Linked DNA regions of Rhinolophus ferrumequinum. The protein of the gene in region 1 interacts with the protein of each later gene in a pairwise test. Links are inferred from orthologs where the notes say so. Each region holds a gene or a part of one and is shown in the gene's direction. Other genes may lie near its edges.

Region 1 (7,602 bases):
GATGAAGATAGTTATTAGTACTCACTATATAGGATTAAGTGAAATAAGAAAGGTATAGCACTTGGAAGAGGGTCTGCCACTCAATAAATCTTAACAATTATCATCATCAACAACAATTATAGGCTAAAGACTTCCAAATCTCGTATCTTCAGCCCAGATTTCTCTTAGTGCTCCAAATTATATCAACTGCTTCTTGGACATCTTTCCTTGGATGATTCTGGGCATTGCACATTCATGTCTAAAACTAATCTTTTTGTTTTCTTTGCAAATCTATGGTCCTCATCTCCAAATTTTTCTATTAAATCTTAAAATAATATCACCATGTCAAGTGACTCAAATCAGATTCTAATCAACCACCAAAACCTGCTAATTGTATCATCTCTATTTCCATCTCTACTTCCATTGATCTAATTCCCTATTACTGTCTTTTTTTTCTGGACTACTACTACAGCTTCCTAACTTATTTCCCTCTCTTTTGTACACCACAAGCTGATATTATCACTTCCCCTGCTTAAAAACACTTAGTGCCTCCTACACCCCTCTACTTCCAACATTATGCCTTTCATGATTAAGTCCAAATTTCTTAATATAGTTTACTAGATTTTCAGTGAATGGGTTGTTACTTTCCTTCCCGGTATTTTTTTTTTCTACCTCCTACCTCACAAACCATGCTCCTACTGTACAGAACTTGTCGTGCTTGCTTCGTTCTCTCTTACCACTTCTCTAGGCCAGGAAATCTCTTTCCTCCCTTCCTCTAGCTCAAAATATGGTCTGTGGACTACTGGAGGACCTGAGACCTTTTCAGGGGCTCTTCAAAATCAAAACTATTTTCATAATAATATTAAGACATTTACTTTTTTCACTGTGTGAACATTACCATCGATAGTGTAAATCAGTGGTTTGTAAAACTGCTGGCATCTTAGCAGGAGTCAAGACAGTGATACTGTGCTAGTATCCATTTTGTTCCTCACTGTGATGCGCTTGGAGAAAAAAACTAGTGTCACCTATGAATGTCCTGGATAAAACAGTGAAAAATTAATTATGGTAGGCTGAATAATGGCCTCCCAAAGATGTCTACTTCCTAATCGCCAAAACTTGTGAATATGTTACCTTACGTGGCAAAAGGAACTTTGCATACTTGTATGTGATTAAGGATCTTGAGATGGTGTGGTTATCCCGGATTATTTGGGAAGTTCAATGTAATTACAAGACTTCTTATAAGAGGGAGACAGGGTCAGAATCAGAGAAGATGTGACAACAGAAGCTGAGGAGGGGGAGAAGGGAGAGGTAGAGAAGAAAGGGAGGAGAGAAGAGAAGGGAAAGATGAGGGAGAGGAAGGGGAGGAAAAGTACACAAGTGAGAATTATAAGCTGATTTAGCCACTTAAAAAATCTAACATCATTTTTATGTGACAGAATAAATGACAGGTTAATAGTTGTTATTCAGATTTGGAAATACTGCAGACGATTTCTTAAAAATGAATAAATGAGCTTAACACTTAAAGAAAATAACTGACAGTATTTGTTGTCAATGACAAAATTTGAGCTTTTATGCAAAAATTAGTATTTTGGAGAATTTGTATTCATCACTGTGAGTTTGGCAGTTTCCCAAGATTTAAAGACTTTTTCTGATGAGTCTGTGAAAATAATGAATATGATTTTTAGATATTGTATAATGAAATGTGTCGACATTTAGGAGATCTGTATAACTCAGCGAAGCAATGTTTTCTAAATGACAAATCCATTATGTTACAAAATTACATATGAGTATAATATCTACCCAAAGTGTAAGGTAGACCACTGATTTTTTTAATGTAAAAGAACTCAGAAAGGTCATTGACATGGTTTCAAGTTCCACATTTCAATTAAGAAACTACCACTTGTCGAGTTTAGGTGTGGTATCAAAGAAAATATTCAACTATCTGAACAAGCTATTATACCCATCCTTCCCCCTCCTCCAATTACATATCTGTATGAGACTGAATTTCCTTTACATAAACAAATTGCAACAAATATGGCAACAATTGAATGAAGAAGTAGCTATAAACTATCTTGCTGTCTTCTATCAAGCCAGGGCTTAAAATAATTAAAGACATTTGTAAAAATGAAAAACACTGCCACTCTCTCACTAGTTTTTTTTTTTAAATTTAGAAAACATGGTCATTTTTCATACAAATATGTTATTTGTGCCCATCAAGGGCTTATTGTTTTTCAACAAATTAATACATATTTAAAATTTTTTTCTCGGTTTTAATTTCTAATATGTTAAATATTGGTGGAAATGACATGAACAAAAGTTCTTCGAGGTCTTCCGTAATTTTTAAAAGTTTAAAGCAGTTCTGGGACCAAACTGTTTAGGAATTGCTGCTGTAGCTGATGTAAACTTACCCTTTGGATTTCAATTTAGGTTTTATTTTATTTCTTTGGAAGATTTTCACAGTCATCCTGGTTGGATGTAAATGTCCTACCTGTTCCCTTAATAATACTTTACTTATTATTAGCTGCTGTCTTAGGGCCATTGTATCTTATTTTTGTTTTTTTATATAACAATTTTCTTGAGATATAATTAACATATCATAGAGTTTCCTATTTAAAATGTACAATTTTCAGTTTTTTACCAGTTTCCCAGAGCTGTGCAACCATCATCACAATGTATTTGAGCATTTACAGCATTTTCATCACTTCCAAAAGAAAACCTGTATCACTTCCCATTTCCCCCTAATTTTCCAGCCCTAGTTGAAGTCTGGAGCAGTAGTCTACTAATCTATTTTCTGTCTCTATAGCTTTGCCTATTCTGGACATGTCATATTAATGGAATCATACTTTATGACTGGCTACTTTCACTTAGCATAATATCTTCTAGTTTCATCCATATTGTATGAGTACTTCATTCCTTTTTATGGCCTAATGGTATTCCATTGTATGGGTACATTACTTTTGTTTTCCATTAATCAGTTGATGGACATTTATTTGGGTTATTTCTACATTTTTTGCTATTATGAATAATGTTTCTGTGAATATTTGAGTACATGTTTTTGTGTGGACATGTGTCATCAATTCTGTTGGGTGTATATATATATATAGGAATAGAATTGCTGGATCATGGTAACTTTATATTTAACAGTTTGAGGAACTGCCAGAATGTTTTTCAAAGCATTTTATAGTCCCACTAAGTAGTGTATGAGGGTTATAATTTTTCTATATCTTTGTCAACACTTCTTATTATCATCTGTCCTTTAAATTATAGATATCCTAGTGTGTGTGAAGCGTTATTTCATTGTGGCTTTAATTTGCATTTCCTTGATTGCTGATGATATTGAGCATCTCCATTTGCCCATTTGTATCTCCTTTGAAGAAATGTCTATTTAGATTTTTTGGGTCTATTTTTAAGTTGGATTATTTGTCGTTTTATTATTGAATTGTAATAGTTCTTAGTTCTTTATATAGTTTGAGTATTAACCCTTATAGATATATTTGCAAATATCTTCTCCCTTTTTTTAGGTTGTCTCTTGAACACAAAAGACAAAAGTTTTTTACTTCAATGAAGTCCAATTTATTTTCGTTTGGTTGGTTGTGCTTTTGGTATCATATACAAGAAGCCACCCCCTAATCCAAGGTCAAGAAGATTTATGCCTGTTTTCTCCTAAGAGTTTTAGCTCTTACATTTAGGCCTTGATCCATTCTAAGTTAATTTTTCATATGTTCTAAGGTAGTGATCCAAATTCATTATTTTGCACGTGGATATTCAGTTGTCCCAACAACATATGTTGAAAGACTTCTTTCACCATTTAATTCTTGGTATTCTTGTCGAAAATTATTGATGTGTGAGGGCTTACTGATTTACTTCTGAAACTATTCTATTTCATTTGTCTACATCCTTATTCTCTATGCATTTGTCAGTAGGGCCATTGTATTTTAAAGAAGAAATCATAGGGGGATCATTCCTTAACTCAAAGCAACGAATTCAAGAGTCAGAATTAGCTACTGCTCCCCAACAGTTTAGAACTTTCAGCAGCCATCAAGTAGCCATCAGTAGCCATCAAGATCGTGTCCAATGGGATCCTTGTTTTGTTTTGTTTTGCCTCCGGCCCCCCAATCAAGGTCATGTGACCGCGTGGTGTGTGTGTGTGTGTGTGTGTGTGTGTGTGTGTGTGTGTGTGTGTGAGAGAGAGAGAGAGAGAGAGAGAGAGAGAGAGAGAGAGAGAGAGAGAGAGAGAGAGAGAGCGCTAAATCAAAAATGTTAGCTCGAGGGTAAGAAGCACTGGTATTCAATCCAATTTCTTTCGGGAGGTTGACGAGCAAGGCCAGGAGACAATAGAAGTTTCTTGGTTCAGCCTTCAGAAACGCGCAAGGTGTCGGAGAGGGAGGAGTCTGGGCTGTCAGTACTGTCCCAAACATTGATACTGGGGACGGGGAACTTTTCCTCTGGTCTCGGGATTGAGGTGCCTGGTCTTCGATGGAGCAGACGAGAAGGTTGTTAATTCGCTCGCGCGACCACCAGTCAAGCAGCTGATCTAGCACCGAGCCCCCCGTGTCGGTGTAGCCCCCACCCGTTTTCCCGCCTCGCCTCTTTTCCCTATCCCTGCTCCCAGCGCGTAGCGGAAGTGACGCAAGCAGTAGCGGAAGTCCCTCCAGCCGCGGTGTTGTGCTGTGGGGAAGAGAGACGGATTTGTAAACCCCGGAGCGAGGTTCTGCGTGCCCGAGGCCGCTGCTGTGCGGAGACCCCGGGGGAAGCCACCGTCACTATGTCTGACCAGGTACCGGGCCGGCGGCCGTCCGATGGCGGTGACTGGGGCCTTCCTCGGCAGGTCCGCCTGCCGCTGGGCTGGAGCCAGGGATGGAGGCGCGGGGGAGGGGAGCGCAGAATGGGGGAGGGGGCGGCCGGTGGGGACTCGGCGGGCGAGAGAGGGGAGTGGACTAGGGCCGGAGACGGCGGGGCCTGCCGCGGGCCTCCGGGAGCCGTCCTGCCCCTCTCCGGGCTCGCTCATCACCCTCTGCCACAGCGTCTCTGGTCGCGGCCTCCCGCAGGTCGTCCCCCTTGCAGAGCCCAGCTTCCACCTCCCGGGGAGGGTGGGTCCCCGGGGAACCTGTCTGCCTCCCTCCCAGAGGACTGGTTGCCGAAGCAGGGCTCTAGGCCCCAGTTATGTAACGGGAGAGAGTCTGCCCGGGAGGCTTCGTGGCCCTGAAAAGCGCCTGGACTCCACTTTTTGGTTCTCGGGTTTTGGGTAGCCCTGGAGTAGGGACGTTGGGGCGGGGAGGGGAGGGAGACATTGTCTGGTGTTGCTGGGAACCTAGAAAGCACTGCTTTCCGTTCGGATTGCGGCGGGGGCCGGGCCGCCGCGGCTCTTTTCTGAGTCTTTTTCCGTGTGGGGGTGCAGAGCTGTCGCCTCTTTTCTTGTACTTTTCCATTTCTTACTCGGGATTGGTTCAGCAACTCTCCATTTGTAAGGGAGCACTCAGAATAACCAAGAAACAAAGTAGAACAAAACCGCTCGAGCAACAGAAAACATTTCCCCTGGGCATTAACCTGGAGATGACTGATACTTTTGAGGAAAAGGATAGGAATACTGTATATACTCGTGTATATACTCGTAGAGCCGTTGCAGGACATTTGCAGAAAGCTGCCTGTTACGGCAAAGTGCTCCGTCTTAATGTTAATATCAATGATTTACTTGGGATTTGTACTTAAATCAGGAGCGTTCGATTTTCCGTGGTAAGTTTTTCATATTTTCCTAGTTAACCACGTTTTACGGCTAGTTTTTAATTAATAAGGTTTTTGTCTGGTCTTTTGTTTGCTCAGACGACTTTGACTTTTCAAAGTATTTTTAGACCTTTGCTTGTTTAGTGATAGTTATCTAGAAAACTTTCAGTCAACTCCCTAATGTACTTGAACTTAAAAATTTAACACACTTATATTCTCTTGGCATTTAACCCGGGTCAGTTTTCTTTCTACAGCTTGGTGAGAGCGAGTTCGGCTTTTGTGGATTTGTACTAGTGTGCAAAATGTACATAAAAAATTTTAAAGTTTAACCATAATCTAGATTAGTTTTGGGGATCTTATTACTAACGGTCTAGGTTAATTCCCAAGTTGGTATGGGAATGGCCGTTATAAGTATCTACCTAGATAGTTGTTTACTTGGTTACCAGGGAGTAAATGAACAGGTGTAAATGCTTAGTTTTCATCAGCCTTTTATTTTGATGCTCAGAAGTGACTAGGAAGCATGTTGAAATTTACTATAGTGTGATGAAAGAGTAATGTACAGAAAGAATTATAAAGTAAATTGTAGAGTTTATTGCTCCAGTTTGAATTCTGGTCATTTAGAAAGACATGAAGGAAGAAATAAAGGACCTAAGACACTAACAGGTGGTTTTAGGCCAGAGGTTCTTTAGATTCTTTTTTAGGGGGCCTCAAAATTATTTTCATGATAATACTAGGACATTGTTGGTCTTTTTCATTCTGGTTCTTTCATGAGTGTTCAGTGGAGTTTTCTAAAGACTAACGTGACCTGTGATATCACAACAGATTGAAATGTAGAAGGAGATGTGAAAAGCCAACTGCTTTCTATTAAGCCAGACATTAAAGAGATTTGCAAAAATGAGGAACAGTGCCACTCTTCTCATTAGTTTTGTTCTGAAAACTTTTTAATAAAACTGTTATTTGCTGATATATGAAGGGTTTGTTATTTTTAAATGAATTAATCTTTAAAACATTTCTCAGTTTCAATGTCTAATACTATAAACCTCAATAGATATAACCAACCTGACAAAAATTTTATGGGGAGGGGGGTCTAAATAATTTCTAAGAGCATAAAGAAGTCCTGAGACCAAAAAGTTTGAGAATTGTTCTAGTCTGATAGACCAGCATCATTAACAATTGGGACCCAGTACAATTTCATGTTGGGTGCTAAGAATTTAAAGAGGTATAAAGTTGAACTCTTACCTTTAAGAGGCTTATGAACGGGAGTAAGAATCCCAAGTTACCACTGTGCAATATCAGCAGCATGAGTCTGAACCAGTGCCCCCAAAAGACAATCTTTATTTAAACAAAGTTTTGTTAGAATGTCTTTTCTGAGGCACCTTTCAGGAGGTTATTGTCTGGTGCTAAGATACTGAAATTGAGTAATAATTTCAGGTTAAAATAGGGGGGCATTAAATTCATAGAAGACTTAAATTGCTGGGTTCTCCATTGATTAAAGAATATTATATTTGGAATTTGAGTGAAACACTTTTTTGCAATTCTAACAATCCAGCATTGTCCAGTGGATTTGTGGACCATTAAAAAATAATCATCTCAAACATTTTAAACCCAAGTTTCGTGGACCTAAAGGGCTGAAAATTCACTGAAATTGTTATGGAGTGTTTTGTGAGTATTTGTGCATATGTTTTTTCCTTTCTTTTTTTACGGGAGAAAGGGCCCATAACTTTCATCAGGGATACATGATCCCTCAAAAAGTTAAGGAGACCCCAGGATATTCAGACTTATGGCAGCTCAGGGCCCACAGAGAGAGTGACGTGAGTTGTTCCCAGAGAACCCCAGGTGGAAACCTCAAGCCTTCTAGGACCTAGCCTTGAAAGTCACTTCTGCCTTCTTAGGCAAATCACT
Region 2 (7,215 bases), on another chromosome or scaffold:
TGGTTACAATATGGATGGACCTAGAGAACATTATGTTAAGTGAAATAAGTCAGACAGAGAAAGACAAATACCATATGATCTCACTTATATGTGGAATCTAAAGAAAAGAATAAATGAATGAACTAATCAGAAACAGTCTCAGAGACATAGAGGAAAAGCTGAGGGTTGCTAGATTGGTGGGGGAGGGATAAGGGGGAAGGTGAGGGGATTAGAAAGTATAGTCGGTAACCACAAGATGGCCACGGGGAAACGAAAGTCAATTTGGGGAACGTAATCAATAATGTTGTAAAGATTTTGTAGGGTATCCGATGGACACTTGTCCCATTAGGGAGACCACCTCAGGGATGGTGTAGATGCCTGATCACTGCACCGTACACCTGAAGCTGAAGCTGAACAATAGTGAATGTCAGGGACCGGCCCAGTGGCTCAGGCGGTTAGAGCTCCATGCTCCTAACTCCGAAGGCGGCCGGTTCGATTCCCACATGGGCCAGTGGGCTCTCAACCACAAAGTTGCCAGTTCAGTTCCCCGAGTCCCGCAAGGGATGGTGAGCTCCGCCCCCTGCAACTAAGATCGAACAGGCACCTTGAGCTGAGCTGCCGCTGAGCTCCCAAATGGCTCAGTTGGTTGGAGCACGTCCTCTCAACCACAAGGCTGTGGGTTCGACTCCCGCAAGGGATGGTGGGCTGTGCCCCCTGCAACTAGCAACGGCAACTGGACCTGGAGCTCAGCTGCGCCCTCCACAACTAAGATTGAAAGGACAACAACTTGACTTGGAAAAAAAAGTCGTGGAAGTACACACTGTTCCCCAATAAAGTCCTGGTCCCCTTCCCCAATAAAATCTTTAAAAAAAAATAATGAATATCAACTACAATTATATATGTATACACACACACACACACACACACACACATAGTTACAAGAAGCAGAGTACAGCATTAGGAATAGAGACAGTGGAGATGTAATGGCTGTGTGCGATGTCAGAGGGGTAGTGGAGGGGGGGGTTGTCACTGTGTGAGGGACATAAATGATAAATGTCTATCACATTGTTTTGTGCACCTGAAACTAAGAAAAAAAAAAGATGGTTACAACTCAGCCAATGAAAAGCCACTAAACTTCAGACAAACTCCCAGTTTCCTCCAATGGACTTTTTGTTTACAACAGCCCCTCTGAACTCTCCTCTTTCCTCTACAAAGAAGTTCCTCTCTTTTATTCTCTGACTTTTATTTGATTCGCCATTAGGCTGCATGACCTGAACTGCACTTCTTTATTGTTCCAAATAAACCCATTTTACTGGAGAAATATCTGGCTATTTTTTAAAGGTCAACAGGACCCAGTTTCCATTTCTCACTAGCTTTGTGGGGGGAAAGCGTCTACCTCTCCACGTCTCCATTTTCTCCACATCTCCATTTCCTATTTGATTAGTTTTTGCTCTATTGGAAGATCATGTGTTTAGAGAAATTAGCCCAGTGCCTGACGGAGTCACTATTCTATGAACACTTCACAACCAAGGGACAGCATTTTTTTTTTTTTTTTTTTAAGATTTCATTGCGGAAGGGGAACAGGACTTTATTGGGGAACAGCGTGTACTTCCAGGACTTTTACCAAGTCAAGTTGTTGTCCTTTCAATCTTAGTTATGGAGGGCACAGCTCAGCTCAAGGTCCAGTTGCCATTGTTAGTTGCAGGGGGCAGAGCCCACCATCCCTTGCGGGAGTCAAACTGGCAACCTGTGGTTGAGAGCCCATGCTCCAACCGACTGAGCCATCCAGCAGCTCAGCGGCAGCTCAGGTGCCATGTTCAATCTTAGTTGCAGGGGGCGCAGCCCACCATGCCTTTTGGGAGTTGAGCAATCGAACCGGCAACCTTGTGGTTGAGAGCCCACTGGCCCATGTGGGAATCGAACCGGCAGCCTTTGGCGTTAGGAGCATGGAGCTCCAACCACCTGAGCCACCAGGCCAGCCCAAGAGACAGCATTTTTAATACAGAGATATTGCATTGGGGTCTCTCCACTACCTGTACTGTGAAATGTGGAGCCCAGTTGTGGCAGAGGAGGAATGAAGCAGCCTGAGTTGGAATTTGAAGAACTGATGGAAAGAACAAGCTGAGTCAATACCCATTAGCCTTCTGGGGAGAGGTCCTGGGAAGGCAGGAGACACCTGCCTTCACCATATGAAAAATAAATTTTCATCGGGTGAATGCCATAGGGACAGTTGGCCCTATCCTGGAAAAAACGATTTCGCAATGGCCACCGACCTTTCCCCAGTGACTGTGCACTGGGCCATGTGTACACCAAGCCAGGACCCAGGGTCCCCAGCTCAGCTCTACCAGGCTTTCAGTATCTGTCTCCTCGGGACAGGGCTCGCTGGGGGACCTGGGGCAGATAAGAAGGCAAAGCCTGGCCCTTTAAGACCAGATAAATAACAACCTTGGTGGTGCCTGCCTTCTGGTGCTTTAATTGCAAATGAAACACGTGGAGAATCCCCTTAACATGCAGATTGATTCAGTGATTTTGGGGTGGCCCCAATCCCTGAAGCCAATGCTTCTGGTCGGGGCACCACCCTTTGAGAAGGACTGGTTTATGCCACAAACATAGAGGAGAAAACGAATTGGGGCCAATGACACCTGGGGCAGGACCAGTGCTCCGGGCCAGACAGAGAGGACGCTGGGCGGGGGCGCTCTTTCCGGCCCTTTGGCCCCTCCTCACAGGCGTGGGAGTATTATCCCAGTGGTTCAGGGCTGCCGAGCAGTCCCGCGCCCCCCTCCTGCCCCCACTTCCTCGAGGCACGTGACACAGGCAGAACCGTGGCCAGGTTCAGCCACGTCTGAGAGGCCTGGGGCCAGAGAACCTCCTCTGGGCTCCGCCCTCCTCCTCCTCCTCGGGGCTCCGCCCCCTTCTCCCCAGCTCCTGGATTTAGGATTCTATTGTTGCTTCATCTAACTTACTTTTCTGTGAACCCAGGAGGAGAAAAGAAACTGAAACCGAATCTGAGTTGACTAGAAACGGAGACAGGGAAGGAGAGGCGGGGAGACTACGGAGGAAACTGAGAGGCGTAGGGAATCTGTCCGGAGGTCACTTGAGGACCACGTCTGCAAGACCAGAGCCGGTCCTACCCATCATTCATTCATACATTCACTCATTCCTGTCTTCCAGAAACATGTATTGAAACACTGTGCCAGCAACTATGCTGGATTCCGAGTGCAACAGCAAGCTTCATGGACCTGGTCCCTCCCCATGTTCACGGCCACAGAGGCCAAGACAATGTGACGAGGCCCCACTCCACAGGGGCGTGGGGGAGAACACGGGGATCCCAGGGAGCAAGTCCCCTAGGCCTGGAGAAGGGGGCGGGGGCGAGGAGGAGCGCCTTGGGCTGCAGCAAAGAGGGGCAACATCCCAGCAGTGGTCCTGGGGCAAGGTGAGGCAGGGCACAGGCAGGCCTGGCACACCACGCTGCGTAGGAATGCCCACCCCGGCAGCGGGGCAACTCGCAGCATTTTTATGGAATGCAGTGTGCTTCCCGTTTTGAGAAAATGCCCAGTTGGGGCCGTAGGGAGCTGGAAGCATTGCTTTTCATTAATGCCAGCTCAGCTCTCCTTGACACACCTGGGCCAGCCCTAGCAGGTGACGAGAGGGCTGTACGAGGACCCTAGTCACCCGTTGGTGCGCAGGCAGCAGGGGCTGGGGCCACATCCCCCACAATCCAGGACATCCATCCGAGATGAACTGCATCTTAGTCTTAGCGAAGCCAGTGGGGGGCGGGATGAAGCACGACCCAGGCTTGGAAGGAGCTCCCAGGGGCCGCTGCGGATAGGGCACATCGCAGTTGGGACTTGGCAGGGAAGGAGGCTGTCTCCGGGAGCCTGTGGGAGAAGGGCTGGCCCGCAGAAGTGTGATGGTGGCGATGAGTGGGGCGCTGAGCCTGGTGGACAGTCCTCGAGGGCGAAGAGTACACAAGTCGTTTGGGAGAACACAGAGTAATCGATGTTTCTTTAGCAGAGAAGGAATCGCCAGCAATTCAGGTGGAAGGTTGTGTGCTTCCATCTTGTCGTGCGGCTGGAGAGTCTGCGAGGCTCCAGAGCTCCCAGGGCTGAGGATGCTTTGGTGCCGGGCGCGCACTCGGAGCGCCTTGCTGAGGCTGCAGCTCCGCGCGGGGGGGGGGGGGTAGGAGGGGTGGGGGGGCGGGGCGACGGATTCGGTTTCGTTTCTGTTCCCTCCGGCCCCTCGGGGTAGGAGAGTTTCGTTTCCCCGCGGCCTGGCCTGACTGGAGCGGAGGGCGGAGCACACACACCACTTAAAGCCGGAGAGTGGTGAGGGTGCCGCACTCGCGGCAGTGAGGAGACGGGTGAGTATCGCGCTCCCGGGTCCGTGCACCCTCCGGCCGGCTGCGGGAGGCTCGAAGGAGGGCGTTTGCAGAGGGAGGCTGGTTGCAGAGGGAGCGCTCGGCGGTGTGGGCATTGCGGGGCTAGTAATAGTAATGATGCTGAATGAGAATGAGAACAACACTGATGCTGGCTGGGCCGAGAGCGCGCTTGATTCTACTTCAGAGCAACGGCTGCTGAGGCTCCTGGGTGACCGATCCCAAACAGCCCCCGAACCGGTGGCTTTTCTGCTTGAGGAGGTGGGAAGGTACTGGGGATGGGAGCCAATGGGGTCTCTGAAAGAGCGGGTTAAGGGCGACGCACTGAAAAAGTTTCACATCCACCGCTGCATGGTCTCCGAGCCCACCCCAAAAGCCGACCACTTTTTATTGTTGACTTATCCAGCTAACGCGTTCAAAGCGGACAGGTCAGCCCCGGGGATTCCTTGGAAGCTGATGGACAAAGGGCCTTCACGGACCCTGCAGAGTATGAGCGGCTGGAGCTGAGCGTCCTTGCGAGGAAGCTCTGGGTACGGGCGCAGCCCCGTGGGAAGGACCTCCTGCTGGGAGAGACCAGGCATGCGCCGAAGTGCCCTGCGCCGCATAGCCCCACCCACCGGGGAGGTGCCCCTTAAGTTTGTGCAGCAGGGTGCCACTGAGTGGGGCAGACTCACACTCCGGGTCCATTGTCATTTGCGGGGATAAACCGAGGCAGGATGTGCTAGGGGCTGACGGAAGTAACCCAGCAGCCACCGAGAGCGGTGCATGTGGGCTTCTCGGAGTTAGGTCAAATTTTAAATCAAGTTTTTGTTGGAAGTACGGTCAAGTGATACTAACCGTCAGCTGTCAGTCCCAAAGGCTGGGTGTCACCTTTCTGTTTTGGAGCACACCTGCTCTCCCCACCTCCACCACCTCCGAGGTGACCCCCCCCCCCCATTCTTTCCTCTTCCCTTCTCCCCACATCCCGACACTCAGCTCAGTGTGTCTACGGAGAGAGCATTAGGGTAAAGTGGAGATGTTCTCCCGTTTAATAATAAAATATTTAAATGTCTGGGCTTTTAGAAAGCAGAACACTTTCAAGAGAAAATGCAAATGTAAGTCCTGCGAGATTATTTTAAGATCTAGTCTGATTTATGAGTGTGAGTGCTGGAAAAAATACTTTTCCTCCCACCTGTGTGCTTCTCTCTGGGTTAATAATCAAATTAACAGAGACAGATTAACAGGAGAAAATCAAGTTTTAGTACATATGAAAGGGGAATTCACAGAAGCAGGAAAATTCCAGGCAGCGAGGCAACACTGGGTATACATGACATTATGGACAAAGGAGAAAAGGGGGGATGGGGTATTAGATTTCAGAAGTGAGAATGGGTGATTTACAGGTAGTTAAGGAAGATGGAACAGCCTGGCAGGCAAATTCTTGCTGGGCAACCAACCCCGAGACAATGGGACTCTGGCGGGATGGTCCACACAATGGGACTCTGGCGGGATGGTCCACAGGCTCCCGCGTGGAGTCTCCCTGTGTAGTGACCAGCCATTATGCTAAGTTTCCTCCCTGAAGCAGGTTTTTCTGTCTGATTCTCTTGAGCAGGAAGGGGTGGGGGAGCAAAGGTTCTTTCTGGGTCTTTTGTTTCTTAGTAACCAGCTTGAAAATCAATATCCCACAATGTAAAACTTTCGGTCCCCTTCTTGGGCAAGGTGCAGACTCTGGATCTGGCAGTCTGTAGGATATGCTAGGTATGTGGTCCTTCGCAGAGGTGGGGGCGCTAAATCACCCTCCCATCCCCGCTGCCGCATGCTCTCTAAGCTCAGGAAGCTTCCCCACAAGCACGGAAATCCACCCCCTCAGCCCACAGCAGGGATTCTCCAGTGCCACTGCTGTTAGTTAGATGGGCCTCTAGTCTGGAGGCCACTGGCAAGCTACCAGTCCGGAAATCTGAAGTGGAGGGGGCAGCCAGCCCGTCACCCCCACGGACAGTGAGACCTGAGTGGACACAGAGCTGCCCTGGGCAGGAATGGAAAGAGGCTGCTGCACCTGGGCAGGGTCTCTCCTCCCTAAACCAAGCTTCGGAGTGAGAGGAGAGCCTGGTCCAGTAGCCCACCAGTGCCCACTGGGGGTGTGCAGAGGTGCGGAAGGTGACAGCTGGAAAGGAGAGATGGTGTGCAGGCCTCAAAACTCCCTTCGGTCTTGTCTGCAAACGCAGGGTCCAGAGTAGACGTTTGATGAGCAGTATGGGCTGAGAGCTAAGGGTCACCACGATGGCCAAAGTTGGCAAATGCATTCAGGCGAGTGTGGCAGCTGTAGCGGAATGCGGGGTGTGATGAAGAAGTCAGAAAGTGGTTTTCCTTACTGAGATTGTCCTGCTCCTGAAATCCAAACCGATCCTCAAAGATGATCCATGAAAGGTACAAACATTTAAGATGGACAGACAAAACCCACACGTTTTTGCTTTCAGGGACTGTCATTTTACCAATCAGAAAGTGAGATACCATATGATCTCTATTATGTGGGGAATCTAAAACAAAATAAATGAATAAACAAAACAAAGCGGAAACAGACCCTTAGATATAGAGAGTACGCTGATGGTTGCCAGAGGAGGGGCATGAGGGATGGGAATTAAAATTTTTTTTTAATAATTTGTTTTTTTTTTTTATTTTAAAACATTTGAAAGAAATAAAGACGCATCCTGTGTGCGGGGAACTGCCTTAGTATTGCTAGTCAGTCAGAACTTTCTTTTAAAATAAAAACAGGATGTGCTTGAAAAGCTGTAAGTTTTCTATGGGAAACCCTTGCTGAGTCAGTTTTTAAACACTGGACACAATTCTCATAGAGCAGGTTCAGGTTTACTAGGACGGTTGCCCCA

What was found. The genes of interacting proteins can lie anywhere in the genome.
Region 2: the proteins of SUMO1 (region 1) and MX1 interact in a two-hybrid assay, tested with the Homo sapiens proteins (2 studies listed by BioGRID). The link is inferred for Rhinolophus ferrumequinum from reciprocal best matches to the Homo sapiens genes SUMO1 and MX1.

The regions. Positions count from the first base shown.
Region 1 is NC_046291.1:29,338,696-29,346,297, forward strand, and holds the start of SUMO1 (small ubiquitin-related modifier 1), read left to right. Parts: upstream 1-4,599; 5' UTR 4,600-4,744; coding exon 4,745-4,756; intron 4,757-7,602. UniProt on the Homo sapiens protein: Ubiquitin-like protein that can be covalently attached to proteins as a monomer or a lysine-linked polymer.
Region 2 is NC_046285.1:105,591,698-105,598,912, forward strand, and holds the start of MX1 (interferon-induced GTP-binding protein Mx1), read left to right. Parts: upstream 1-4,198; 5' UTR 4,199-4,339; intron 4,340-7,215.